Linked DNA regions of Coturnix japonica. The protein of the gene in region 4 binds, or shares a complex with, the protein of the main gene of each other region. Links are inferred from orthologs where the notes say so. Each region holds a gene or a part of one and is shown on either strand. Other genes may lie near its edges. The genes, in order: CHD4, CHD5, HDAC2, MTA3 and CDK2AP2.

Region 1 (6,142 bases), on a different chromosome or scaffold from region 4:
GAGTGAAAGGTTGACTTGGTTTCTTACAAATTTCAAAGTAAAAGTTGAACCTGAGAGTTTGACCCCCTCCCCTCTCGGGATGATCTGGGACTAAATTCCCTGATAACACCAGAAAAACAAAGGTAAGGCTTCTCTGAAAGTCCTGAGATCCTCAGGATCATGGGCAGGGACTGCAAGGCCTTGGCTCAGGGTTACAGCATCAGCAATCTGACAGGGAGAACCTGCAGGGCTGCCAAGCAGAGCTTGCTGTCACTGGGCTCACGTTGATGCAGACCTGCAAAGAACAGGTAAGGAAGGAAGGGAAATGCACCTACAGCAATTAAGGGACAGCATCACGTTTATGGAAACATCAGATGATACTGATTTTAGAAGACTAAAATAAGTGGATTCATTTCCACTGAGGCAGTACCGAGGTGTCCTGGCAGCATTCAGCTCTTGAAACCATTAACATGTGTGTGTTGTTTACTGGGCACGATAGACGCTACCAGCAAACAGCCAGAAGCCAACAAACTGACCTCCACGAGTGTACTGTTGCACCACCAGCAAGCTGTTGTCATGGTGCCTTATCTGTGCCCTACACAGGAGAGCAGGCCTGGGCTGCCCTCTCTATGTGCCTCAGTGTCTCTGAAGGGCTGCTGGTGTTCACAGCAGCGAGACACCCTGCAAGGACCGTAGTGCGATGTGCTTGGCTCTGGGTCTAACCTGGAGGGACATGTCTGTGCAGTCCAGCGGGATGTGGGCTAATAAAGGCTGGTGCTGGGGGCAGAGTGAGAGGGTGTCCTCGGGAGCAGGGCTGGGATGGAGTGTCATGGTGCCTTTGGGTTACCTGGCCTGGTGAAGGGATGTGAGAGCTGTGGGAGCATCCAACAGCAAGGTGAGTTACATTGTAGGGATCCTGTGATAACTGTTTCTTATGATCTTGTTAGATGTTCGGTTTAGTTGGCCCTCACGGGCAGCTGTCAGTGCACAGAAGGAAGACAGGAGTTGTGCTGGGGTCCGTGTGAGAGCTCCCAGCCTGCACACCGCTGTTTGCAGTGGCACGGTGTTCTGTTGCACTTACCTGTGCATAGGTGTGCACAGTGCAGCCCTTTACTGCTGCCTGTCCTCTGTAGGGCTGAGAGAACCAACGCAATGCAAAGGGACAGAGGACAGGGCGGCACCTGTGTAAGGCAAGAGGTCAGAGGGCTGTGTAGGCAGGGTTGTATTAGCAGGGCTCCATAAGCACACGAAGGAACACAATGCAGTTGGGCTCCACACCGCCCAGCCCATCTGTGCTAGCGGCACAGGGTGTGCATGGAGGAACGGCTGTGTGCATGGGCAGCGCGGGATGCTGCGGCGGTGCTCCAGGGGAGGAGCCAGCAGACACTGACAGCCATTGTTCATGGGCTGAGGTGGGCAGGGCTGGGTGCCCGGCGAGCTAACGGAGGTGCCATGGGGCGAGCGGTGCCATACAGTGACCATTAACGGCACGGCGACGTGTGTGCAATTAGGGCGTACGGGCGAGGCGATGGTGCCAGGTGTAGGGCAGCAGCAGGGCGCAGAGCAGGGATGCCCCGCATTCCTTTAGGACGGGGACAGCTTTAGGGCGCTACCACGTTGTGCACCTCGCGTTACATCCCCGACGTACGGTCCAGCAGCGGCAGAGGTCACCGGGAGACCCACACTCAGTGCAGCCGGTGGCTGCTTGACCCGGGGGACCGTACCCGGTGTGAGCCGGGCGTGCGGGCTGGGACACCTGGGTGAGCTCTGAGCTCTGAGGCCATGGCGGTGCCCCCCGCGGCCATGGCGGTGCCCCCCGAGGGCCCGTCCCGCTGCGGGCGGGGCGGTGTCGGAGCCCCGCTGCGGGTATTATGGGATGGCAGGCTGGCCGGTGGCTCCCGGCGACTATTATGGGATGCCTGCCCGCGCAGGGGGAGGGGAGAACTATTATGGGATGCGTGCCCGGGGTGTGACTATTATGGGATGTGGAGGGGATCGGCTGCTTAAACCCCCAGGAGGTGTCCGTGGAGGGGGGGGTCCGGCGTGGGTATTATGGGATGCCGGAGCGAGGGGTTAGAGGTGGGGAGTATTATGGGATGCTCCCGATGGGGGGGGGGAGGGAGAGAAGGACCCGAGGGGGGATAGAGGGCGAGTATTATGGGATGCTGGGCCGGGCGGCGAGTGGGAAGTTCTGAGGGGAGAGTGAATATTATGGGATGTCTCGGCTGGGGGGGGTGTTGCCGGGGATACGGGGGCGGGGTCTGTTGCCAGGTTCACGGGGTATATTATGGGATGGAGGCGGGAGTGGGGTGGAGCCTGCTTTTTTTTTTTTTCTTTTTTTTTTTTTTTTTTTTTTTTTTTTCCCCTCTCCCCCCTTTAAGAGGCGGTGCCGGGGCCGGAGCCATTTTCCCTTCAGCAGCGGCGGTAGCGGAGCGGAGCTGCCGTCTGGAGCCGGGTGAGGATCTGGGAGGGAACGAGGGCGGGCGCGGCCTCTCCGCCGTGCCTCGCGTTGTGCCCGCCGCCCCGCGGGCTCTCCCCGGTGCCTGTTCCCCCGGCCGCTTTTCGGTCGCGGCTCGACCCGGGACCGCGGCGGCCGCGGGACGCTGCCCGCCCCGCCTCCCGGCGCGGCCCCGACGAGCGGCCGCCCCGCCGTGCCCGGCCTTACCGTGCGGCCCCGGTGTGGAGCCGGCCCCGCGGAGAGCCGGACCCCCGCCGCCCGCCGGCCGGACTTTCCCGGCCCCGCCCCGCGCCCCCGCCGAGCCGTCCCCCGCCCTGCGGCCCCGCTGCGCTCCGGGCGGGGGAGCGGCCGTGGGGCCTTTTGTGTCGGTCCCGGGGGCAGCGCGGCGGGCGGCCCGCCAAGTTGGGTCGGGAGGGCTCCGCCGCCTTGCGGGACCGCCGGCCGCCGCCCTGACGGAACGCCGGGCGGCTCAAGGAGCCCGTGGGAAGGCCGGCTCCGCTCCCCGCCTTCTCCCAGGCGAAGGTAGAAATAACCTAGGGCGCTCATTCCGGTCTGGCACCGGCTGCGGGAGGCAGGAGGATGTTCCCTATAGGACAGCTGTTTTGGCTCCCTGTGAGGAATGAGTTGCTGACTCAGTTTAACGTCTGCTGTCTTAAAGCCTGCTTCATCACAACTCTGATGTGATACCTGCTGCCAGAGTACATGTTATCTGGCGGCTCCCGGTGTAATGAAATCATTAAGCTTTTTCTCCTGAATCCTTTTGGTTGCACTATTGCTTGGGAAACCGCGTTTTGCATCTGCTATAACTTTCTCTTAATTCTTTTCAATGAAGTACTGGCTTCACCGGCAGGAAGGCAGCACTTCTGTGAGCCTGGGCCTCCCCTGGTTCAGAGGATATGGCATCGGGCATCGGATCTCCGTCGCCATGCTCGGGGGGCAGTGATGACGATGAGATGGAGATCCTGTTGAACAACGCTATCCCCCAGCATCAAGGTATTGAGGGCCTGCAGGGCAAGCGTGCGAGGTGGGGTAATGCTTTCCTTGGGCTGGATATGTGGAATAAATGCTCTGTGAAGGAATGTCCCTTCAGCTAGGAGTTAATGTATGTTTTTGATCTTTACTATTGGAATCCCAGTTCCAAGTGTGAGGCTCGTGGCTTTGTGTCAGGTGGAGCAGACTTTGTTCCGAGATACCATAGGTTGTCAGTGGGGGCTCATGCTCTGGGAAGGAGTGAGCAGTCAGTGTTATGTCTTAATTTTGACCAAAATGTCTGAGTTTCATATTCCTGGATTGGGGGAGGTGGCTGTGTATGTGAAAGGGGAGGATGTCTGGCTGTTTCATCTGGGATCTCAGGCTTGCTGCTGTCCAGAGCAAACTGCCCTGGGCTCTTGCATGACCCACTTTTTCTTTGCCACACCCAATTATTGAGGCTTCTGGTGGCTCGTTTTCTGTACTGCCTACTCACCTTTGCTTTTCTCATAGTCTTTGTACCTTACCTTGTTGCCTTGTCCCTTTTGCTTGCATCCTCATCTGCATGAGACTGGAGTTAGAGCCCTGGGTACTCTGCTGTTTTGAATGTTATTGATGCGTGCACTAAGGAAGCCATAAGCATCGGGCTTCTCTGTTTCCTTGCAAAAAGAGGTTGTATGTATTCTGATGTGTTGGCCTGTTGAGTTTTCCCACCAAGACATGCCTGTTGTAGTGTTGTAATATCAAATGAGAAAACGTTACAAGTGGAGAGGCAAAATGTTGTGGAAGGCTTGGCTTTTTTTTAGGGTATTGACTTGAGCTGCATTTGGTACCTCTTAGGTAGAGGGGAGATGGTCATTAAGCCTTGTGAGGGAAGCCTTGTTGAGGAAAACAAACTGTTAAAATCACTGCAGACCTGAAAGCTTTAGGGAAAAGCATTGGAAGGGGTGGGATACTTAAGCTCTGAATTAGCTGGAGAAGGTGTGGAATCCCCATATGAGCTGGTGTTGCAGGACTATGTGAGCAAAGACTTGCTAATTAGTTGGCACGGTGGCAGGACTGCAAGACCCCAAATTCCGAGGGCTTTACTTCTGCTCTGTCTGCCTGCTGCAGCTACCTGACCTGAGGCTGCCTCCATCCTGCCCAGCTCCTGTGGTCAGGAGGCCATTTTCCCTTGGAGGGAGAAGGAGTGACTCTGGCTGTGTGCAATGGGCGGGGCGGCAGGGGAGAGCGAATGGCTGGGCTGCTCTCTGAGCCTGCCACAAAGGAAAGGGTTGCCCGGCTCTCCCTGGGGTTGGGAGAGGTAGGGGCACAGATGGAAGGGATGGTGATGGGGAGTTGGCTGCTTGTCCCTGCGCTGGGCGCTTGCTTGCTAGCTGCTGACAAAGAGGGAAGGGGTGGAGAGAAGGCTATATCAAGTCTGGATTAGAATTGAGTTGCTAAGTAGCGGCTTACCTATGGGGAGGACAAGTAGTGGCTTGCTCGACTGTGTTATGAATGTATTTTAATGTCTGTAAGCTGTAGGGTACTCTGTTCTGGTGAAAAGAAGAACACTTTTTTTATTCTGGAGGACTGAAACGTTATCTTCAGGTCTCAAACATACTTGCTAAATGTACTTGCTGCTTTAATTCCTTTAGTTATGGTAATCTACTCTGTGCCCTTCCCTCTTCTTATTCAGTTAGAGCAAACTTCTGGTCCCTAGGAACTGCTCAGTTGGGAGAAGGAATGTTGTGGAAGTGGGCCTTGTTGGAGAGAGGGTGTATGGTAGTACCTTGCCATATGATTAACTGTAAGTGTTGTGAACAGTAACAAGGTGTAAGCAATAATAGGGTGAGCAAGCTCTTCTGTGTTTGTAAGTATGTAGCAAGAAGTAGGCAGATTCAGGGATGTCTGTGAGAAGTATGCTGGGCTGTAGTGCATAGATGGGCTTTGAGTGAGATGTCACCTCTTCCCCTCCAGAGCATGAAGAAGAGCCAGAAGAAGATCTTCTGTCAGAGGCTGAGACACTCAAAATCAAAAAGAAAAAGAAGCCCAAGAAGCTAAAGGAACCCAAAGTACCCAAACTCAGCAAGCGTCAGAAGAAGGAGGTGAGGGAAAGAATGCCACAGATCATACTCTAAAATATGATTGCGTTGTGGTGAGGAGGCTTGCTTTGTTGACCTGTGACAGCAGTCCTCTATATGAATCCTTTAGAGCTTGGGAAGTGTGGCATTTAGTGCTTATCCAGGGTGTTTTCTCACAGCTGCCTGATCTTCTCTCTCCCTCCCTCCCCAGCTTGGGGACAGTTCTGGTGAGGGCAATGAGTTTGTGGAGGAAGAAGAGGAGGTTTTGCGCTCTGACAGCGAGGGCAGCGACTACACTCCTGGGAAGAAGAAAAAGAAGAAATTAGGGCCAAAGAAGGAAAAGAAAAGCAAAGCAAAACGCAAGGAGGAAGAAGAGGAGGAGGAGGAAGATGATGACTCCAAGGTGAGAAGCTAACCTGCTGGCTTACTGCTTATTTCCCAGTTCCATGTGGATTTGGGTTAGTAGTCTCAGACAGCACATGGAGTGGGGAACAATTTAATTTTTTTATCCTCTAAACAACCTGATGTGACTATTTCCCTTGTTGCATGCCTTCCTCTCTCCTACCTGAAATACATAAATATTGAATCCAAAGGATTTTCCTATCTGTGATGTTCTAGTGAGGCTGTATCCTATAGCAGTGACAAGAGGAGAGTGGCTGGTGGAAATCCGCCA
Region 2 (5,628 bases), on a different chromosome or scaffold from region 4:
GATGCTGCTCCAAAAGATGCTGAAGAAGTTACGGGATGGGGGTCACAGAGTTCTGATCTTCTCCCAGGTGAGCAGTGGGAAGGGCTGGTGAGGGACTCTGATAAATTACTAAAGGACTTCTTTGTTCTGTATGAGAATTCTGTTAGGTACAGACAGGGATAGATGGAAGATGCCAGCTGATGTCACAGCTGGGCACCCCATCAGTCAGGGGGATTAACTGCATCCTGTTCCTCTCCGGAGAGTACCCATGAAATGTTTGAAACCACTTTTTATCTGCAGATGACGAAGATGTTGGACTTGCTGGAGGACTTTCTGGAGTACGAGGGCTACAAGTATGAGCGCATTGATGGTGGCATCACTGGAGGCCTGCGCCAGGAAGCCATTGATAGGTTTAATGGTAAGTGCTTTTCCTCCCTTCCAGGAGTGGCAGTGGGCACTGTGTGCTGGGGCCAATTTGCAGCAGCCAGCAGAGGGGTCAGGCGTTGTGGGGGCTGTGTGTATACCTGGAGTGCAGAGTGCTGAAGCTCAGAGCCCTGGCACAATGCAGGGCTGCTCTTGGTGTGTTAAGCCCCTCTGGTTATTTCACACATTAAACTCTGAGCCTGTTAATGACAGGCTGTTTGGCTTGAAAGACTCCTGCATTTCTCTTTGTGGCCTCAGAGCTTCCCTTTCAGACCTGGAGCTGTATTTTCTTCACTAACTAATTTCCAGGGGTTGATGTATTTTTACTCCTTGTCTTCCCTGCCTATTGCTTCTTGGCTTAGACTGGTGGACCCTGATGTTTTATAACTAAAGCACTGTGCTACACCTTTCCAAATAAGCCCAGCTCCCCTTTGTCTCACCTTCTGCCACCTGTGGGTTTGTCTTTCTCAGCTCCTGGTGCTCAGCAGTTCTGCTTTCTCCTCTCTACCCGCGCTGGTGGTCTGGGCATAAACCTTGCTACGGCTGACACAGTCATTATTTATGATTCTGACTGGAATCCCCACAATGACATCCAGGTTTATTACTTTTTCTTTTCCTTCCAGTACAGTAAGTACCTTTCTGGATGGGCCCCCTGTGCATTCTGCCAGTGAAATGAGCTCTCTCCTCTTGAGAGCTGCTGATGGTTCCTGCAGTTTGCAGGACATAGTTCTGTTCAGGAGCTGTTTGCACACCTCTATTGGCCTTACCTTGGCCTGTCAGCAATGCAGGGGTGGACTGGCCACTAAAACTGGCTTTCTTCCATGAGCTTCTGCCCTTCTCCTGCTGTTTGTCTGCAACCTAGTGTCCCTTCCTGTTCTGGGGACTTTCCACTTGCATTTCCAAAAGCTGTGGTAGATCCTATCTAAGGACTGATCTGCAGCCAGAGGATTCCTAGGAGGAGCTTTTCTGCACTGCCTTCAAGCCTTTCAATTAGGGGCCATGCACGAGGAAGGTGGCCTGCTCTGTAGTCAGAGGAGGGGGAAGGAGGAGTGTAAAGCCTACAGGTTGGCTCTAAGGAGCCCCTTTTGCTCCACTGCCCCATAGCAGCCTGAGATCAGCTTCTGGCTGAGGGGGTCCAAGACTGGGCTGGCTGCAGATGTGCCAACATTGGCTGTTCTGCAGTGATGTTCTCTGCCTGCAGGCATTCAGCAGAGCACACCGCATCGGGCAGAACAAGAAAGTAATGATATACCGCTTTGTGACAAGAGCCTCCGTGGAAGAGCGCATCACCCAGGTGGCCAAAAGGAAGATGATGCTCACCCACCTGGTGGTCCGTCCTGGGCTTGGCTCAAAGTCAGGCTCCATGACCAAGCAAGAGCTGGATGACATCCTGAAGTTTGGGACAGAAGAGCTCTTCAAGGATGATGTGGAAGGTTGGGTCAGGAGGGAGCTGGAGATGCTCAGAGCAAAGCCAAGCCCTGCTGGAGCTGCAGGGGCTCATTCCTGTGCCTTCCACTTGCAGGCATGGTGTCTCAGGGACAGCGGCTCACCATGCCGGATGCCGTCACCCCTTTCTCTGACACGCTGTCCACCAAAGGGGGTGCAGTGACTCCTGGCATGAAAAAAAAGCATGGTGGCACCCCACCAGGTCTGTAGCCCCTGTTACTGGGATGACTTTGCCCTGTGTCCAGCCTGATCTTGCCTGGCTCTGGGAGCACACAGTGTGATTTGCTTTCTGTTCCCCTTGCTTTGCCCTCCAGGTGACAATAAGGATGTGGATGACAGCAGTGTGATCCACTATGACGATGCTGCTATCTCTAAGCTTCTGGACCGAAACCAGGATGCGACCGATGACACGGAGCTGCAGAACATGAACGAGTATCTCAGCTCCTTTAAAGTGGCCCAGTATGTTGTGAGAGAAGAGGATGGTGTGGTAATGTGATCAGTATCATGTCTTATAATCACATCTGTTTGTATGTCCCTGTTTGTGCTTCTTCCTCTGCCTTTTTTGTTCCTGTGGGGGTTTCTCTGCAGGGCAGTACTCCTCCCTGCTCATTGCTGATGGTAGCAGTGATGGTGCAGCCAGCAGGACTGCAATGGCTAAATGTGGTTCTGACCTATTGTGACCTATCGCTCTTCTGGTACTTGGTTCTGTTCTTCTGAAGGCTGCTATTCTGAATACTGGGAGCAGGGCACGGTGCTGCTCATGCATTGTGCTGCTGTCATTTATTCTCCCTGTAGCTAACAGACTTCCTTCAGCTGTCTCTCAAGCTGATAGTGGGCTGCTATTCAGGGCAATCTCTGTGGATCTGTGATTGTTCCCTGGATGTGAGCACAGGCCGGATGGCAGTGTTCTCAGGAGCTATTTCTAGGTATAGGTGGCTGACTGGGAGGTTGTCTCAGCCCTTTGATAACCGTGCACTGAGGTCAGTGCATTTGGGTGAAAGTGAGACTCTGTGTACATGCATGTAGAGCAGGGTGAAGGAGGCACACCACTGGGTGGTCAAAGCATGTCTGAACATCTTGCTTACCAGCAAGTGTCTCAGTGCCCTCCTTCCATCCCTCTTCCCTAAAGCTCAGTAGAAGACGCACAGCAGTGTGGTGCAGGGAGGTCTGCAGCTCTCTTGTCTCAAGCCTTTTTGGTTTCCTTTCTTTGCAGGAGGAGGTGGAACGTGAGATCATCAAACAAGAGGAGAATGTGGACCCTGACTACTGGGAGAAGCTGCTGCGGCACCACTATGAGCAGCAGCAGGAAGATCTGGCCAGGAACTTGGGGAAGGGGAAGAGAATCCGCAAGCAGGTCAATTACAATGATGCCTCTCAGGAGGACCAAGGTATGGCTTTGACTGCTTGGCTCAGGTCTGGGAGCAGGCTCTGTGATTTTTGTTTCCTTTTGGCCTGTAACTGGGAAAGAATTGAGGAGAAACCTGACTGTGGGCAAAGTATTTAAAACTGGTTTGTTTTTTTATTTTCTGTGAAGGAAACTAATAATAATGGAAAAGTTGAGTCTGGTTTCCTGTTTATTTCTGGGTCTTTCTCTCTGGCTACCTGGGACTGGATGCTGGGGGCAGTGTCAGGGCTCCTGTTGTCCCCTTGAGGCAAGCTTGCAGGGTTCTCTCTCCTGACCTTGTCTCCTTGTGGTCTGCAGAGTGGCAGGACGAGCTCTCTGACAACCAGTCTGAGTACTCCATTGGCTCTGAGGATGAAGATGAAGACTTTGAAGAAAGACCAGAAGGTCAGAGTGAGTTAATGGACTTGATAATCTACAATGTCCTCTGCAGGAACTTCAGTGATAGCCTGTGATTTGGGGTGGGCTGGCACTCAAATGCAGCAGGGAGGTCTGAGCTGAAGAGACTGCCTTGCTTCTGGGGAGGCATTCTTTGCCCTGCTGGGTGAGGCAGTTCTCAGCACAGGGAGCATGACTTGCTGGCTAATGTAGGGCTTTGGTCTTGTCCTTGTGGTAGCAGTATCTGGTCTTCAGTGCCTCCCCTGGCATGAGGAGGCCACGTGAGTGAAAGGGCACTCTGAACAACCCTGACTGCCGCTGTGTGCAGGTTCCACTCCCATTGGGAAGGGTTATGGGAAGCTTAGGGCACAGGGGTTGATCAGCATTAGGTCTTTGGCCATCCCTCTGTTGGCTGGGCACGTTTGTTACATAGGTTGTATGACTGCAGGTGGCAGAAGACAATCACGGAGGCAGCTGAAGAGTGACCGGGACAAACCTCTCCCTCCTTTGCTGGCAAGAGTTGGGGGGAATATTGAAGTGAGTGTCAGCACTGGCCAAAGCATGTCCCTTGTCTGTCTGGTCCGGTTTGTGCTGCTCTTCAGCATCAGTCCTGGCTCAGGACCTGTAGCAGCTGTGAGGCTCTGAGATGTCATCATTTCTGAGGCCTCCCAACCTCTGCTCCCTGCAGGTTCTGGGGTTCAATGCCCGGCAGCGCAAAGCCTTCCTGAACGCCATCATGCGGTGGGGAATGCCGCCCCAGGATGCCTTCAACTCTCACTGGCTGGTGAGGGATCTGCGAGGGAAGAGTGAGAAAGAGTTCAGGTACTGTGATCAGGCATGAAGATGCCTGTGAGGCGTTCATCTCAAACTGCTCCATGATGCCATGTGCTGGAGGGCAAAACTCTGCCCTTGGCCGCTGGTGAAAACAGGCACTGCGGGTGCTCAGCAGGGAGCTCTTGGTCCAAGCTAGAGCCAGCTCTTGCTTTCTTTCCACAGGGCTTATGTCTCCCTGTTCATGCGACATTTGTGTGAACCTGGAGCTGATGGTGCAGAGACATTTGCAGATGGGGTCCCACGGGAAGGTCTTTCTCGCCAGCACGTGCTGACTCGGATCGGAGTTATGTCACTAGTAAGGAAGAAGGTGGGTGAGTAAAATCTTACATGTGCCCTTCAGGTACGTTCTGGATACCTGGGGGTTTTGTTAGCTGCTGAATGCCTCCTTGCCAGAGATCCCCTTATTGAATCTCCAAGGCTTGGTGCACGGCCACGTCTGTGGTATTTCAGTGATGTAGGTCAGCTGGAGGTAGAAGTGCTTGGTTGGCAAAAAATCGTGGCAAAATCACATTTTTAACTTCTAAAAAATTCCTGGATTTATAGTTCTTTTCATTTCAGATGGGACTATTACAGTAACCTACTCAGACCTCCTATACTGTACAGGCCAGAGACTTCCACTTGCCAAGTCTTGCATTGTGTCCAGCATCTTGTTGAACCAAAGCATGTCTTTCAGAGAGATGTTTGGGCTTGATTTGGGACTGAATAACTGTTGGTCATGTTGCTAATCCCAGGCATGTGCTGAGCCCCGAGGATACTGGCAGTTAAGTGTATGGAAGAATCCTCAGCTGTCTTGTTTAGAGGATCTCCCCATATGTTGACAAGTGCAGCACTCAGAGTTGTCCCAGGAAGACCATTAGATGATCATAGCAGTAGTTCCAGTGTAGCAGTGGGGAAGGGCAGATGCTGGGAGTGATGGCACCTGATTTTGCTGTGTCTGGAGCATCAACTGTTACTCTGCTGGGTGTGGAGAGTGACAAATTGCAGCCTAGGGAACGGGGTGTGCAAGAGAGACTCTGTGAAAGAGAGGAGTGGAGAGGAAGCAAGGAGCATTTTGATGGAGGCATGATGGGTCCAGGACTGTGAACTCACTGCATGAGCACCCCCAGGGTGCAGCTCACCCTGCATGCCTGCCAAGGCTTCACATGGGCACCAGCACGGTCACTCGC
Region 3 (5,397 bases), about 38 Mb from region 4:
AATGATTAAAATCACCATTGGGTCACAGTTGTCTTTTCTGTTCTATTTATAGAATTACCATACAATGATTACTTTGAGTATTTTGGACCAGACTTCAAACTTCATATTAGTCCCTCAAACATGACTAACCAAAATACACCAGAATATATGGAGAAGATCAAGTAAGTAGTGCTTACATTATTTGCCAAGTACATGTGTGAGTTGTGCTTCTCTAAAGGTTTAATATTTACACAAGTTTGAGAGTTCCATTCCCTACTACACGCTGAAAAAGTACTGAATAGAAAAGACATTTTTTTCCGTTTTATCAGAAGATGAAATTTTAATTAAAATATCTGTGCCTACAACATTTTCTGTGCTTATGAGTCCTGAGTATTTAAAGAAGAAAGGCTTAGGACTCAGTTTCGGTGGCTTTTTCCCCTTCTTCCAGAAATGAAAGAGTTGACTGTTTTATTTGGCTTACTCTGATTTTGTAAGAAATTTATCCTGTCAGGAAAGAAGCTGTGCTGTGCACTGATTATTAGGCTTCCAAATTCTCTACTCCCTTGTCCAAACACGAGTGATTGTCATTCTTTGTAGCTGTCAGCCTTAAAAATAGAAATCATGTGAGGAGACATTAAAAACTATGGAAAGATGTGTGCAAGCGATTGAGAGACTGTAGTTTGATGAGTCCACAAGATTTGTGAAGTACTTATTGACAAGCTGTAGATATTGTGTTCTTAGGCTTTGCTTCTTCAGTTTATGCCTACCCACATCATGAAGGTTTGTAAACTAATATTGGTCTTCAGAAATGGAATAATACTTAAGAATAATCAAATCTGTACTCATCTAATAAAGAGATAATTGGTTAACCTGAAGTACTCATTGTTTACAATTGTTTTGTTCCTGATTTGGATTTAGAAGAAGGTCATGTAATAGAAACAGAGACTGTAAGGATCTCATAAAACCTCAGTTGCCATTTCATTCTTTGAATTGTGCAGGGGGATACTGAGGTAGTTGTCACAAATGCTGGTGCTTGTAATCTCCCAACAATTCTCTCCACTCAAACAGCTTTGGACTGATAATTTTGAGTCCCAGGTTATCTATCCTTGTTCCCGCATGTGTGTCTATGGAGTGTGGGATCTGTTGCATCAGCTGGCTTGGACAAGAATGTCTATTCTCCCTGTACTAGCCAGTAAGCAATTTGATCTAGATGGATCGCTTTTGATCCTGATCTTACTGTTGCACACAGCATGGAAATAGTCATGCTCTAAGTGTCTGGCTTTCTTCGGAGAATAGTTTATTACCCAACCTGATAGTCTTGTCTATTAAATAGAGTAATACTGTCACCAGGTCAGCCCAAGCGGGAAGGACACCTACTGACCTAATGAAAAACTGAAGATTGATGTTCCCTGACAGTATATGTATAAAATTTAAGAGAATGTGATATCGAAATAGGCTGTGAATACTGGTGATCTGCTGTGGATGGAAGGCTTTCTGAAGGCTTTCTTAAAGAAAAGCAGGTTAACTTTGAGTGCAGAATTTATCAAATTGAACACGAAATCCAAGGAAATACTACTTCTGTGTAGTAGTAACTTTGTATTAATTACAGGCAACGCTTATTTGAAAACTTGCGCATGTTACCTCATGCACCTGGTGTACAGATGCAGGCCATTCCTGAAGATGCTGTTCATGAAGATAGTGGAGATGAGGATGGAGAAGATCCAGACAAACGCATTTCCAGTAAGGGATACTATGAAGTCCAAGTAGAGTAATCCTAGTTTTAACTGTTCAGAACGTCAGTCTGAAGTGCGATATTGGAAGATGAGCACTTGGAGAACTCATTTACTAAGTAAAAAATACTTTTGCTGTTGGTCTGCCAGTTTTGTGGTTATTAAAGTGGCCTCTGTGCCCATATATGAATCCGTACAGGAGTCTCAAGAAGTGCTCAAGAATACTTGAGTCGTATAGAGCAAGTTGTTGCAGTATATTTTAATATACTCCAGAAGTGTTAGATCAGTTGTAATGGAAGGACTTAGCTTCTGACTTGCTGTTCATAAAAATAGTAATGAATTAAGTGTTTTTGAAAGTAAAATGATCTATCTGGTTTATAACATATTTTTACTAGTTCTTAACTTGGTAGTTCTTTGGTCTATTTAGCCAGTCTTTGTTCTGACCTTTTTGTTTAATTTCTTAAATCCTAGTTCGAGCATCTGATAAGCGCATTGCCTGTGATGAAGAGTTTTCTGACTCTGAGGATGAAGGGGAAGGTGGACGGCGAAATGTTGCAGATCACAAGAAAGGAGCAAAGAAAGCTAGGATAGAGGAAGACAAGAAAGAGACAGAAGACAAAAAAGCAGGTAGGATTCTATGGTTATTTTATCCTACCTTTTAGAATAGCAGGCATTTGTCCTGCTGGAAGGAGGATGCATTCTCTGTTAACAGTTATTTTACTATTGAAACTTTTTTAATCATATTTTAAAAAACTATTTTAAAGTTTAATCAGTTTCATCATTGATTTTAAGATGCAGCTGTTCATCCTGAAATAGTATTTCTGTGCAGACTTGAACAATTGGATTAGTGTTGTTTCTCCCCAAACTCAAAGCTTTATAAGGCAGGGGTTTGTTAGGGTTTTAAAAAAAAAATAAATAATAATAATAATAAAAAAATTATCTTGCTTTAAGTATGTTCTTTTTTTTTTTTTTTTTTTGCTTTAATGGAGTAAGGCTGCTGGTTTTCTTCTGAAACTGAAGCTTGGTAGGTTTTTAGGAATACTGTACTTAAAAGAATTTTGGGGCTTTTCAGTAAAAGGCTGTATCATAAGACTATGAGATAGTGAGCCCCATGAAACTTTGGGAAAAATGCAGTTTTTGTTACAAACAGACACTCTTTTGGCCAGTCAAGAGAAACTATGCCTGACTTGCTTTGAATCACTTGGCACTGTGCCCAGCTAACTCCCCAGGATGGATACATTTAATGTTATATGTCAATAAGCAAGGTTACTTTTTTCTTTTCCGGAAGCTGTTTCTCTTAGTTGCAATTGTATCTATGAAGTATAGCTGTCCCGGATTTTTTTTTCTGTCCAAAGGAAGGTCGCTTGCATTTCTTCATATATTTCAAACCATGTAATTTTTATTTTTAGATGTTAAGGAGGAGGATAAATCCAAGGACAACAGTGGTGAAAAGACGGACACCAAAGGGTAAGCAGTTAATTAATATCACATTATTGAAGAACATCTAGTAACTTAAAGTATTCTTAAGTATTGATTTCTGTACAGGTACTTGATTCCCTCATAATACTAAACACTTTACACTTAGAACAAGACTAACTCTACGTTGCATTTCTGAAATGGTTAATCTAAAAAATCACGCATTTTAACAGTTTATTTTTTGCTTTTGTACAGAGCAAAGTCAGAACAGCTCAGCAATCCTTGAACAAAAGATAGCCTCACATCAATTGCAGAACATAATGCTAGAATTGGAGAATACCTAAAGGAAGAAGTTTTCATTTTGATAAAGACTGCTGATTTCATTTTTGTACTATTTGGCATGGACCGTATTTATTTTCAAACGGCTTTGTTCTGGTTTTTGGCAAGTTGTATTGTGAGTTTTCTAATTATGAGGCAGAAATTCCTTTCTTCACCATGCTTTATGTAATAGTATTTAAAATGGATGTGAGTTATGTTAAATGTCTAAACTGATCTATTAAAGTAATTTGCCTTTCCTGAGCTGATTTTACCTTTTTTGTAATTTTATCTTTATTAAAAAAATAAAAATAAAAAAAAATTGTACTTGGTTGTCTTCTGTCCATCACTGAACTAAAAAGACAAAGCTCCGTGTAAGTTGAGCAGATTTGTGTTTGTCTCTGAGTAGCAGATAAATCTAGATAGGCAGATGGTGAATATTCAAGTTGGACTGTGCTGCTTCATGTGCTTCAATGGCTGCTTCCAAGAGTAGCAACAAATATAATATGAGTACATGAGATTTGAACGTGTTGAATAAATGGGGGAAGAGATATTAGAATAATGTGGTTGTAGGAACTTGCATTTTGATACAAAATTTTAAAGCTCAATGATAAAATGCCTTGTAGCATCCAAGAACCTTTCCCACCATCAGAATCTACTCCCAAAACTGGTTAATTTGCTGTAAATGAAATTTCTATATGGTCATCTTTCAAAACATACAAGATAAGAAGTAAAGGTTTGGCTGTAATTAATAATCTGTCCTGATTTATTTATTTTTTTAATAGCTATAAGCATTATCAAATGTTGTCCCTGTTTTAAGAAGAAAAACACATAATTTTTTCTTTGTTGATTGCTTAGTTCATTCTGTTGCCTGAACTGAAACACAGAAACCTGAGTATACTTATACTTCTTTTTTCCTCCTCTCAAGACTATCATAGTCTTTGTTTTCAAGCTTACAGAGCATTGAACACTGAAGTTTGCAGTATTGCTGTTAATTTCAAGTAGTTTGTGAATTAATCACTGATCCTGTTGGTAATTGAAGTTATTGTTATCTATTGTGTGAACTAGTGGACTGAAATGCACTGTTTAAGGAGAGAAAATACTACTTATATGTATCAAAGTGGTAAAATGCTGTTTCTCTGTTTTCTTTGAGGATAGCAAAAGTACAAATGCAAGGACCAAGACCATGGGTTTGGGTGCAGTTGTGAGCATTTGTGTTCTCCTGTGTGCATCTAATGCCTTCTAGCTCTCTAGTGCAAAGGATAAAAGTTAGATTTGAGGAAATATAGGGAGGTCACAGGTTTATACCAAAGAGGTGAGAAGTGCTAAATGATGCCAAAGGCATGCCTCTAAGTGCCAAGGAGTTTGGTACTCTAAATTTTGTTACAGAAGTTTTCACGTTATATAACTGAAAGTAGCAGATATATTTGTATTATATACGTGTCTTAAGGTGGTGGGTTGATTGGTTGGTGTATTATTATTTATTTATTTTTGAAGTTGATATAACCTTACTTTGTGTCTGTTAACAGGGTTTTTGTTCAAGTGACCTGTGGTCTATGCCATTGTTACAAGTATATCAAAAAAACATTTCTAGATAATGGTATTGAAAAGCCCAGATTTTTAACTTGGGATCACTTCAACACAAAGTAATGAAATTTAATAATGTTAAGATATGAATGAAACCCAAGAATACATGTGATTGTAAACCTCAACTAGAACTAAAAAATAAGAGTTAATCTTTTTGCCTCATCCTGCATTTTTCCATGAGAAATTACAGTGCTAAAACTACTCTATCCTGCTGAGTCCTGGCAAATTTCTATTAAAGGCAGTTGTACTACTGAAGTATATGCCTTTGTCTTTATGTAGCCTCACTACCTAAACATTGTACTTTGGATTAACTGTGAATTCTCCAAACGTAAGCAGTTTAATTTATTAATTTTTCCCCTTCTGAAGAGAA
Region 4 (5,628 bases):
AATGGTCCTCTTTTTAAGGAACTGACAGTTAAATATTTACATTATCATCTAAGAGATGAAATACTGGAGAGGCTTTTAATTTATCCTGAAATAAACACAGAAATCAATCCATTGATCAGAAGCAGGGAGTAATTCTGCAGGGTATTATCACTGTTCTACAGAAGTAGAACTCATTTTAGATGTTTCTGCTCAATATTTAAACCTGCTTGTTGTACGACAAAGTAAACAATAATGATCTTGTGACTTACTGAAACAGAAATCAGATATAAATGTGGTTATGACTGTTATTCCAGAACACCAAGTTTAACAAAATCCAAGCTTCAAAGAACAGGATAGTGAAGAATTAATATCCGCTGCCACAGAACTTTGTCTTTCTCCTCTGGAGTTTAAGGAAAAAGACAGTGCTAACTTCCTGTGTGCATCCCAACCATGTGCTCTATGTTACCGATGTACAGAAGGGAGAAGAGAAAGGCTGCTTCCACTTACCGGAGGAGCTGTGGTTGAGGGAGGGGATGGCTCATCTGGCTGACCGCATATGTGCGGCCAGAAGAAGAAAGGACAGCATGAGTGTTTTAGGAAATGCTGTATGTTTTTAATGCTGCTTTGTCTAGACTGAAAGGGACTGTCCTAGTACACCTGGAAGCACAGGTCTATAAAGTTAATGGGAGTAAATGGATGGATGATCTTAGATAGCATTATGTGCACTTAGGTGATGCTTTTGTGAAGATGATTAACAGTGCTAAAATATACAAGGTATCTGTAGAGTCCAGATAGCTTCTGAATGAGAAGTGAAATATCTCAATACAACAGAAGTCAAATAATGTCTGTTATAGGGAGATGAAGTATACCCAACATAGTTCTGGGCATACATCTAAGCTTGCTGTGTGAGGATGGCTTGAAAATGGCATTTTTTGGGTGGGAAGGGAAGGCTGGGAAGTAATAGCATGTTCCAGAGAATAAGTAGTGCTTTCATTATTTATTTTCAAGTTTAGTGTTAAATGTCATGTGATACCTTACACAGGAAGTAGTTGTTTTCCTTTTAAAATCAAGGCCATGCCCACAAGCATTTTTTGAAATGCTGCTAACTGTGTCTCACAGACTCAACTCTTTTGAGCCCTACTGGTGAGACAGAAAGGATATCAATGCTCTGCACATTCTAGGTCATTGTCTTCCTTTCTCTCTTCTGCTTCTGGGCCACCATTTCCCCAGGTGGAATAGGTTAAGTATTAAAAGTAAGCCCTGTCCTCTAGAGAGCTGGAGTTAATCCCCTGTAATCTCTTCAGTCTTTACTGTACTTACAAAACAAACCCTCCTAAAGTGAGCCCCTGGATAATTAAATGCCCTATATTTCCTCTTAGTTACCAGGAAGCTAGTCTAGAGTTTCCAGCAGAGATGCATGCTGAGAAGAGATGAGAGAGATCTAGCTGCTTAAGCACCTATGGAATTCAGGCTGTTAGTTAGTTAAGTGACTCAGCAGGAGACTTCAACTTTTCTTAACTTGCTTTGTATATGTATATAGTACCTCAGTGACATTAGTGGAAATGGGAGTTTTTAAGAGTTTTTATTGTTTTACTTGAGGCTGCAAGCCAGTTTCGTAACAGAGGTTCCTAATATGTAATTGGAGTATTTTTTCTCTTCTCATTTCATTTTTATTTTAATTTCAGAAGTGATCATAGTGTCTGAATCTGGCCAGTTGGTTATTTGTTCAGTAGCTATTGGGATAATTTGGATTATTTGCATGTTATATTTACTTCTCTAAGTTAGCAGAAGCTGCAGATGGATAGGAGATTTTCAGTGAAAAAATGTACTAGTCAGTAGAATAAAGGTAATAGCAGTGGGAATAAAAAGATCCCTAAAAGTGCAAATATTTGAAGCAAATCTGTAGGTAGAGAATGAGAGCAAATGGTGTAAAGACCCTAAAGGAAGGACTCAAGGTGTTGAGAAATGGTCCTGACTGATTAATAGTTTCATAGAAAACTTGGTCCTGCTACTTTACTCATCTACAGAAAGAGAAAAAACAGCCTTAGTGGCAAACTGGGGATTAACGACCTCCAAACTGAAAAAACATCAAAGGAAGGAAATGCATCCTTTCTCAGCTTTTAGCACTTCCTGGAAATACAAAGTTATGTTTCCTTTATACTGTAGACAGGAGTTTGAGTTCTAGTCTGTTGATCCAGCTCTGGGGATTATTTTGTTTGCTGCTGGAGCTCTTTTGCAAATAGATAATGGTATAGTGGTGTTAGCCCTGAATATTAATCATTTCCTTCTGAAAAGTGAAAGAGATTGCCAAATGAGCATTTTAGAATCAGAGCTCTTAAGTAAACAGTGACAACATCAGAGATAACAAACTAGCCTTTACATGTGCAGCCTTACAGGACTGTCTTGCAGACACCAGCACCCTGCTTTTAATGCCTTTCTAACAACTAAAAACATGTTATCCTGCTCTACTCTTTTTAATCTGAATCACTTGAAGCATACAGGGTAAGAATGCTCATACTTTTAAGAGTAAGATTATGTGCTGTGGCCAAATCATTGGACAGTTAACCATAGTCTTCCAATGCAAAGTTTGTTGGTGCTGTCCGTTTTCACTGTGCAGCCTGACTCCCTCTGGCCATCATATTCCTTTCTATAGATAAAACTGTTTGGCTCTCCCACCTCCCATTTTCTGCCTATTAAAGGTTACTGTGGCTGCCTCAGACTTTTCCCTGACTCCTGGTGTGGGTAGGTGTGAAGGCTTGCAATGAAAATGGGCATGTGGTGCACACTGATATTGGGTTATGGTACTTATGGAAGAAAAATAAAATGCATTATTGGTGTGGACTTTGACTCCTGTACAATGGTTTCTCCTGCATAATTACTATGAGTAGCAGAGGCTGGGGGCCATCCTCCTTGACATCATGCCTCCTTTTAGATGTTGCATATTCCCAGCTCATGCACTTTATTTTATAAACAAAAAAAAAGCAGAAAGGAACACTCTTCAGGTGCAAACCTGGGCTACAAGAGTGCTTCATTTTTATTTTTTCCTTCTTTTCTCACTTTTTGCAGATAGCTGACTCCTGATCTGCTGGCCGCCAGCCTCCCCTGCCCATAGGGTCTTGCTCAGTGGGCATCTCTGACTGGCAGGGGATTCGGGCAGGCCTCAGCTGAGCCACAGGCCTCAGGCAGCCTGTGTGCCACTGGTTGCTGCTGCTCAGTGCCTTGTGCCAGCTTCATCTGGCAGGTTACTGTGAAATTTCCATACAACTGCACCAGCTTTTGGCAAACACAGCAGCTACCCGCTCTGAATCACGTTGGGCAGATGAGTTTCACTGCCTTTTATGTACTGAACTTATTCCATCTCTGAAATAATCCTCCTGCATGTATTCTTTCAGATGTTCTTGAATATTTGAATCCATAATAATGGTTCTGTATTGATGCTGCAGTATTGGAGTAGTGCTGTAGCTCTCTCCCTGATCCTTGCATCTAGCAACCTGTATTTCAGATGATCCTTTAAAGCTTGCTTTTTTGACAGAAAATTTTGAATAAGTTAAGACACTGAGGGGGCTTCACTGTTGTAAAGTGCTTTTGTTTCCTTGACAAACAATTTGTAGGTGTGTAGCTAAAAAAAAAAGGAGGAAAATGAAAACACAGGACTGCTTCAGTTTGTTCTCTATTATCTCTTCAATTGTGAATACCTTACATCATTGCAGTAAACTCAGGAAATCTAAAATTAAATTGATTCATCCTTATCTGGAGGAACAATAGGTATGAAGATGTGTTCAGATTGTTATTCAAAGTCCTATAAACACATTCATGCTGAAGAAACCCACTTCTGTTTTGCTAGAAACCGAAGTGTAAATTTTAGTAAACCAAGTAGACTGAAAGCTTTTTAAATCAAGTCTCTCTCTCTCTCTCTCTCTCTCTCTCTCTCTGCCTTTTGTCTTAAGCAGAGATTCACCCTGCGGCGAAACCCAATGTAATCAGATCAACACCAAGCCTTCAAAGTCCAAGTACAAAACGACTGCTTGCACCCTCCAATCATTCTTCACTAAGTATTTTGGGAAAAAGGAACTACAGCCATCATAATGGTCTTGATGGTAAGTGAAGGAATATAAGAGATACGTTCTGTAAAATTTCTGAATTGCACAATTTTCTGTGGACCTGAAACAGCAAAGTTTTATGACTTTCTGTAGGGTATATGTTTTTAAAAAATGACATTAAATAAGAAGGCACAGTCATAGAAATCTAAGGTATAGACAGTGTATTTTCATCATTGGCTCTTAATGCAATTAATGGTGATGCATATTCACTGAACAAGGGTTTTCATCAGTGCCATTAACGCCATGTCTTACAAAACCTATTTGTACCATTTTTCTTACTAATCTTTCACCTTTACATATAAGCATAAGGAAAAAATTAAGCAAATATAGTGAAAAGAGAAAGATGCAGCAAAAGCTTTACTTTGCCTTATTGCATTTTTATTTGAAGAAATATTTTGCAGAGACATGCATTGCATTTCTTGAATTCTTCTTGTGAGGTGTAACCTCTGTAAGCAATTAGATTATTTGCTGTATGGTGCTGCAAGCAGAAAATCTGGAAGAAGTTAGGTTCTGAAATAGGCTGTTGAGATGTGATTAGCACAAAAGAGGTGACTTTCTGTTTTTATGTTTCACTGGTCAAGGTAGAAACGAGAAAGATTCATTTTAGATAAGATAATAGAAATGCTATTCCAAATACAGGAGGGAAAGCTCAGTCCATTATTTTACCAGAACAATCGTGCTTTTCTGTCTTTGTCAATGTCATTTGTATCCTGCAGTAAAAATACCTACTGTGCATTTAGTAATACCTAGAAATCAATACATTTTTCGGAAAAAGCAAAATAAAATACAGTATATGTATGACGGGATCACTTGGACCTTTGCTCACTGTGCAAACAACTATCTCATGGCAGGCAAATGACATGCACAGCAACGCAAGCTATTCAGTGGACTAAGATGACAACTGTGTGATAAAAAAGTGATATCATTAATAGGCATAGCTATAAATGCAGTGCATTTCACATAACAGAATTTTCACTATGAACATTCATTGTGAAGTACTGTAGTGACGATCTGGTAATTTCTGCATGTGATTGTGAACAAAAGCTGCTTTTTCTCCTCTCTAATGCTGGCCATTAGACTGGACTATCTTTGTAATCTTTGACCAAAGAATGAATTTCACCTGGAAATAAAGATTTTTCCACAGCAAAGAAAGGTATAGCAATAAGTTCAAGGTAAACATTATTATGATGATATCCTTTAAAGAGCTGAGCTTCATAACATTTTTTTCTATCTATTCTGAATGTTCTCTTCAACATAAAGTATTTATAAAGCTTGTTATTAGCTACATTGATTCATTTGTATCAAATACATAACTGTGTTAAGGCAATTTGTACACAATAGCATCTAATTTGAAAAATTACTATTGAGAACTGTAAATTGTTGCTTTAGGAAATAATTATTTCTACTTATCTATTTTCTATTAAAACATAAAGGAAGCATATATCCAAGGTAATAGAAATCTGGAAAGTGTATTTTGTTCATGTAAGAATGGCTATTTTGGATTTTGTACTACTTTTTTCTTTAGTTAAAAGCTTGCAAAGTGTAGTCG
Region 5 (4,958 bases), on a different chromosome or scaffold from region 4:
AGGATGGGAAGCAGCGCTCTGGCCCCCCCGGACCCCAGGATGGTGAGGAGCTGGCAGAGGCTGCGCAATCCCCGCCGTTGCAGAGCTATTCGGTGCTGCATGGGCTGGTGGGGCCGGCGTGCATCTTCCTCCGGCAGAGCATTGCCATCACACAGCTGGTATGTGAGTGTTGTACCCCCCCTGGGGCGCATCCTTTGGGGTCAGTGCCCTCACAGCTGCCCACTGGTGTGGATTTGGGGTGGCTGTGGGGAGGGAGCCATCCTCCAGCCTGTGTTCTCTTTGTCAGGACCGGGAGCTGCGGCCGGAGGAGATTGAAGGTGAAATGTGGGGCCAGGGTTGCTGCTTCGGTGTGGGGTCTCACCCATACCCATTCCCCTTATTCCCCATCCCAGTTCCCATCTTGCCACCCGTCCTGTTTGATCCCTGTCTCTCCACATGTTCCCCTCACTTTCTGTCCTGGTCCCCATCTCAGCACCTGTTCCTCTCACTTCCCATCCCTGTTCCTGTCTTTCCATCTGTTTATCTCAGTCCCCATCACAGCACTTGTTCCTTGCAGTCCCCATCCGGGTCCCTATCTCACCACCCATTCCTGTTCATTGCCATCCCAGCCCCTGTTTCACCACCCGTTCCCCTTGGTCCTCATCCTGGTCCCCATCTCAGCACCTATTCCACTGGGTTTCCATCCCAGTCCCCATTGTGCCATCTATCCTGCTTGGTCTCTGTCTTGATACCCATTCCCCTTAATTCCTATCCCAGTCCACATCTTGCCACATGTTTCCTTTTATCTTCATCTCACCACCTGTTCCTCTCAGTCCCCATCCCATTCCCCATCTTGGCACCTCTTCTACTATGTCCTCCACCCTGGTCCCCACTGTGCCTCTTATTCTGCCCTGTCCCCATCTTTCAACCTGTCTCAATCTTCATCTCACTACCTGTTCCCCTTGTTCCCCATCCTGGTCCCCATCTCAGCACCTCTTCCACTGGATCCGACCTCAATCCCCATTGTGTCACCCATCCCACTCAGTCCCCATCTCAACGCCTGTTTCCTTGGGTCCTCATCTCAGTCTCCATCTCAGCACCCATTCCCCTTAGCCTTCATCCTGGTCTCCATCTCTCTGCCCATTCCCATTAATCCCCATTGCAACCTCTGCCCCATTCCATTGGGTCCCCATCCCAAGTCCCCACTGTGCCATCCATCCCACTTGTTTGCTATCTTGACACCTATTTCCTTGTGTCTCCATCCCATTTTCCATCTCATCACCTTTTCTCCTGGCTCCCTGCCCCAGTTCTCATGTTCTTAATGTGCTTTGTCCCCATCTTGACACCTGTTCTCTTCAGTCCCCATATCAGCACCTGTTCCACTGGCTCCCTATCCCAGTTCCCATTGTGCCACCTTTCCCATTCAGTCCCCATCTTCACACCCATTCTCTTCAGCTCCCCATGCTGGTCCCCATCTCAGCATCTATCCCTCACAGTCCCTGTCTGAGTGCTGCTCCCTTCGTCCTCACCTGCCCCCACCTGTAGGGTGCCCCCATGGCTGTCTATAGGTGTCACCATTCTCCCTGTGCTGCCCCTAGAGTTGAAACAAGCCTTCAAGGAGTTTGACAAGGACCGCGATGGCTACATCAGCTACAAGGACCTGGGTGAATGCATGCGCACCATGGGCTACATGCCCACCGAGATGGAGCTCATTGAGCTGTCCCAGCAGATCAGTAGGTGCCAGGACAAGGGGGAAGTAACCCCATATTGCCACAGTGGTACCACCCCCGCTGATTTGTAATCCCCCTTTGGTCCTTCCAGCAGGCGGCAAAGTGGATTTTGATGACTTTGTGGAGCTGATGGGCCCCAAGATGCTGGCGGAGACAGCGGATATGATTGGGATCAAGGAGCTGCGCGATGCCTTCCGTGAGGTGAGGGCTGGGGGCAGCAGGGCCGGGATTGGGGGAGGGGAGGGGGTGCAGTGCTGGGAGCACAGTGGTGATGCTGGGTCTCCTATGGGGCAGTTCGACACCAATGGGGACGGGCAGATCAGCATGGCGGAGCTGCGGGAGGCCATGAGGAAGCTGCTGGGCCAGCAGCTCAACTACCGCGAGGTGGACGAGATCCTCAAGGACGTGGATCTCAATGGGGACGGCCTGGTGGACTTTGAAGGTAAATGGGGGCAGGGTGAAGGAGGGGGGGGGGGCCCTATTGATCCCAGCTTTAACTGGGGGACAATGGAGCCATGGATGGGGGGGCCTCCCTATTGCCAGCTGTATTTGGGGCTTATTGCCGGCTTTATTTGGGGTTAATGCTGTGGTTCTTTGTGCAGAGTTTGTGCGGATGATGTCGCGCTGAAGGGCCGGGACTCGCCGCCGTGCCTTACCGGGAGGAGGAGGAGGAGGAGGAGGAGGCGGCCTTCCCGGGCCTGCGCTGCCCCTCATGGTGTGTGTGGGGGGGGAGCTCCGGTGTTGGAGCCCCGTGTCGGTGTGTTGGCAGCGCTGCCGGTTCGCAATGAAGCTGTGTGCCGCCGGGTGCCGTGTGCCCGTCCGTTGAGTGCCGGGGGAGGCCTCTGGCCCTCGCTGTGGGGGTGGGGGTGATGGGGGGGTGCAGGACGCCGCTGGTCTCCATGGTGATGGGAGCCCGGCGCGCCATGTTTGCGTATCGGCGGCGTGCGCCTCGTGACGTCATCACCGCGCTCCCCCGACAGCGCAGGCCGGCTCCCTTCGTGCCGTCGACCAATCGGCGCCGCCGGGTCGCTCCGTCTGACCAATCAGCGGGAGGTTGTGGGGGGGGGTCGCCCCGCTCGCTTCCGTCTCCTGCACACGGCGGGCGCCGCTCGGCCCGGAGCGCTGCGGGATGTCCTACAAACCCATCGCGCCCGCACCCAGCGCCAGCCCCGCCCCGGGGCCCGCAGCCACGGCCGCCGGTGAGAGGAGCCCCGGGGATAGAGCGGGGGTGGGGGGAGAAGAGGGCGTAAGGAGGGGCACGAGGCCTGAGGGGCGGCGGGGCCTAAGGGAGAGGGACGGAGAGTGCGGAGGGGAGTCGGGGCTGAGGGAGGGAGCGGACGGAGCTGGGCCCGAGCGGGGCCGGGCTGAGGGGTGACGGGCCCGGCCCCAGTGCGAAGGAAGGGCCGGACCCGGGGTCGCTCCCCGCAGCTCCCAGCGTCCCTTCGCCGTCCGCCTTCCGCCCGCTCTTCAACGACTTCGGGCCGCCGTCCATGGGCTACGTGCAGGTGAGCCCGCGGGGCAGGGGCACGCGGCGGGAGGGCGGCGTGGGGCGACGCTGAGCCCCCCCCCCTCCGTCCTCCTCGCCTTCCATCCCCTGTCAGACCATGAAGCCGCCCGGCGCTCCGGGCTCGCAGAGCACCTACAGCGACCTGCTGTCTGTCATCGAGGAGATGGGCAGGGAGATCCGGCCCACCTACGCCGGCAGCAAGAGCGCCATGGAGCGGCTCAAGCGGGGTAACGAGCCCGGGGGGCGACCCTCTGTGACCCTCCCCCCCCCTTAAGCCCGGAGCTCAGTGCTCACTCATATCCCCCCCATTCAGGGATCATCCACGCTCGGGCGCTGGTTCGGGAGTGCTTGGCCGAGACAGAGCGCAACGCCCGCACGTGACAGCAGCCCCCCGACCCCCCCCCCCCCCCCGAGCCCCGCCGGTGGCTCCCCCCGAACGGGGCCACCCCCGGGGCTCCCCCCGCCCCAACCTTCCGGCTTTTATAAATAAAGGACGTGCTGCATCCCCCCCCTTATAAAGGAAATCCTCCTTCCAAGCCCCCAATTCCCCATATATACCGCTCCGTTTTAATTTCCCGGTCCGCCGCCCCCCCGCTTCTGACGTCCCCTCTGACGTCACGCCCCCCCCCACGCTGTTCCACCTCCTGACGTCAGCGGGCGCCCCCCACGCCGTGACGTCACACAGCGCGGGGCCGGCTCAGAGCGGCGCAGGTTCGGAAGGGGCCGAGCGCAGCCGAAGGGAACCGAAAGGAGCCGAAGGGTGACGGAAACAGCCGAAGGGAGCCGAGAGCGCGGCCGAGCGGGCGGGGGGCGCGTTGCTATGGCAGTGGGGAGGGCCCGGCCGAAGCGGGCCGGGCCGGGGCCGGGTTAACGGCGGAGGGCCGCGGAGCCCCCCCCACCCCTCGCCCCTTCCCCTAAACACGGCGCCATGCTGATCAAGGAGTACCACATCCTGCTGCCCATGAGCCTGGAGGAGTACCAGGTAGCGCAGCTCTACATGATCCAGGTGCGGATGGGGCCTGGGCTGCGGCCCGGGGGGGGGGGTCGTGTGGGGCCCGGGATCGTGTGGAGCCGTGGGGGGGTGCAGGAATGTGGGGCTTAGGGTGGAGGTCAGCGGGTTCGAGGCTGAGGGATATGGGGGTCAATGTGGAGCTTGGGGGGTTGAGGATGGTCTGGGGGATGGAGGCGTCTCTTATGGAGTCTGGGGGAGTGCAGGAGGATGAGGCAGAAAGTGAGGGTTAGGGCTGAGCTGGGGCTATGGGGAGCTATGGAATTATGGGGCTGAGAGAGAGGGGGTTGGGGTGATTCAGAGCTGGAGGGGGCTGTTTCTGGGTAGTATGGAGCTTGGGGGTTGTATGCGGTCCTGGGAGTTGTGTGGGAGCCCAGGGCTGAGGGTGGAGATTTGGGGCTGAGAGGTATGGGGTGAGAAGGGGTTGAGGGTGGGGGTCAGCGTGTTGCGGGATTGGAGATCTGAAGTGGTGGGGGTTAAGAGTAATAGGGATACGAGGGCAATATGGAGCCTGAGGGGTGCAGGGATGCAGGGTTGGGGGCTGAGGAGGGTGCGGGGTTGGGGGCTTGGAGTTGTTGTGGAAATAGAATGTGGAGGCATGGGGCTGAGCCTGTTTCTCAGAGTGCAGAGTGGGGGTCTTGGGAATAGCTATGGGGCTGAGGTGGGGGTGCAGGGTGAGGAATGGGGTGTGGGGGGGTGGCGTTAGATGCCTGGTAAGATGCCAGGGTTTGGG

What was found.
Region 1: MTA3 (region 4) and CHD4 share a complex: the UniProt entries of both Homo sapiens proteins name them as parts of the nucleosome remodeling and deacetylase (NuRD) repressor complex. The link is inferred for Coturnix japonica from reciprocal best matches to the Homo sapiens genes MTA3 and CHD4.
Region 2: MTA3 (region 4) and CHD5 share a complex: the UniProt entries of both Homo sapiens proteins name them as parts of the nucleosome remodeling and deacetylase (NuRD) repressor complex. The link is inferred for Coturnix japonica from reciprocal best matches to the Homo sapiens genes MTA3 and CHD5.
Region 3: MTA3 (region 4) and HDAC2 share a complex: the UniProt entries of both Homo sapiens proteins name them as parts of the nucleosome remodeling and deacetylase (NuRD) repressor complex. The link is inferred for Coturnix japonica from reciprocal best matches to the Homo sapiens genes MTA3 and HDAC2.
Region 5: MTA3 (region 4) and CDK2AP2 share a complex: the UniProt entries of both Homo sapiens proteins name them as parts of the nucleosome remodeling and deacetylase (NuRD) repressor complex. The link is inferred for Coturnix japonica from reciprocal best matches to the Homo sapiens genes MTA3 and CDK2AP2.

Annotation. Positions count from the first base shown.
Region 1 is NC_029516.1:69,351,268-69,357,409, reverse strand, and holds the start of CHD4 (chromodomain-helicase-DNA-binding protein 4), read left to right. Parts: upstream 1-2,342; 5' UTR 2,343-2,434; intron 2,435-3,269; 5' UTR 3,270-3,333; coding exon 3,334-3,430; intron 3,431-5,365; coding exon 5,366-5,493; intron 5,494-5,648; exon of another isoform or gene 5,649-5,680; coding exon 5,681-5,872; intron 5,873-6,142. UniProt on the Homo sapiens protein: ATP-dependent chromatin-remodeling factor that binds and distorts nucleosomal DNA. Acts as a component of the histone deacetylase NuRD complex which participates in the remodeling of chromatin.
Region 2 is NC_029536.1:532,172-537,799, forward strand, and holds part of CHD5 (chromodomain-helicase-DNA-binding protein 5), read left to right. Parts: coding exon 1-67; intron 68-279; coding exon 280-397; intron 398-873; coding exon 874-998; intron 999-1,603; coding exon 1,604-1,835; intron 1,836-1,924; coding exon 1,925-2,050; intron 2,051-2,162; coding exon 2,163-2,335; intron 2,336-3,061; coding exon 3,062-3,236; intron 3,237-3,550; coding exon 3,551-3,637; intron 3,638-4,076; coding exon 4,077-4,165; intron 4,166-4,316; coding exon 4,317-4,450; intron 4,451-4,624; coding exon 4,625-4,769; intron 4,770-5,628. UniProt on the Homo sapiens protein: ATP-dependent chromatin-remodeling factor that binds DNA through histones and regulates gene transcription. May specifically recognize and bind trimethylated 'Lys-27' (H3K27me3) and non-methylated 'Lys-4' of histone H3.
Region 3 is NC_029518.1:58,987,756-58,993,152, forward strand, and holds the end of HDAC2 (histone deacetylase 2), read left to right. Parts: intron 1-52; coding exon 53-161; intron 162-1,588; coding exon 1,589-1,719; intron 1,720-2,180; coding exon 2,181-2,336; intron 2,337-3,118; coding exon 3,119-3,176; intron 3,177-3,380; coding exon 3,381-3,411; 3' UTR 3,412-3,767; downstream 3,768-5,397. UniProt on the Homo sapiens protein: Histone deacetylase that catalyzes the deacetylation of lysine residues on the N-terminal part of the core histones (H2A, H2B, H3 and H4).
Region 4 is NC_029518.1:21,327,947-21,333,574, forward strand, and holds part of MTA3 (metastasis-associated protein MTA3), read left to right. Parts: intron 1-3,929; coding exon 3,930-4,076; intron 4,077-5,628. UniProt on the Homo sapiens protein: Acts as a component of the histone deacetylase NuRD complex which participates in the remodeling of chromatin.
Region 5 is NC_029520.1:565,062-570,019, forward strand, and holds CDK2AP2 (cyclin-dependent kinase 2-associated protein 2), read left to right. Parts: upstream 1-2,710; 5' UTR 2,711-2,838; coding exon 2,839-2,908; intron 2,909-3,099; exon of another isoform or gene 3,100-3,137; coding exon 3,138-3,214; intron 3,215-3,310; coding exon 3,311-3,443; intron 3,444-3,529; coding exon 3,530-3,597; 3' UTR 3,598-3,769; downstream 3,770-4,958. Other genes in the region: CABP2 (calcium-binding protein 2), read left to right, coding at 3-158, 287-317, 1,578-1,712, 1,801-1,910, 2,004-2,151, 2,312-2,337; PITPNM1 (membrane-associated phosphatidylinositol transfer protein 1), read left to right, coding at 4,145-4,222. UniProt on the Homo sapiens protein: Acts as a component of the histone deacetylase NuRD complex which participates in the remodeling of chromatin.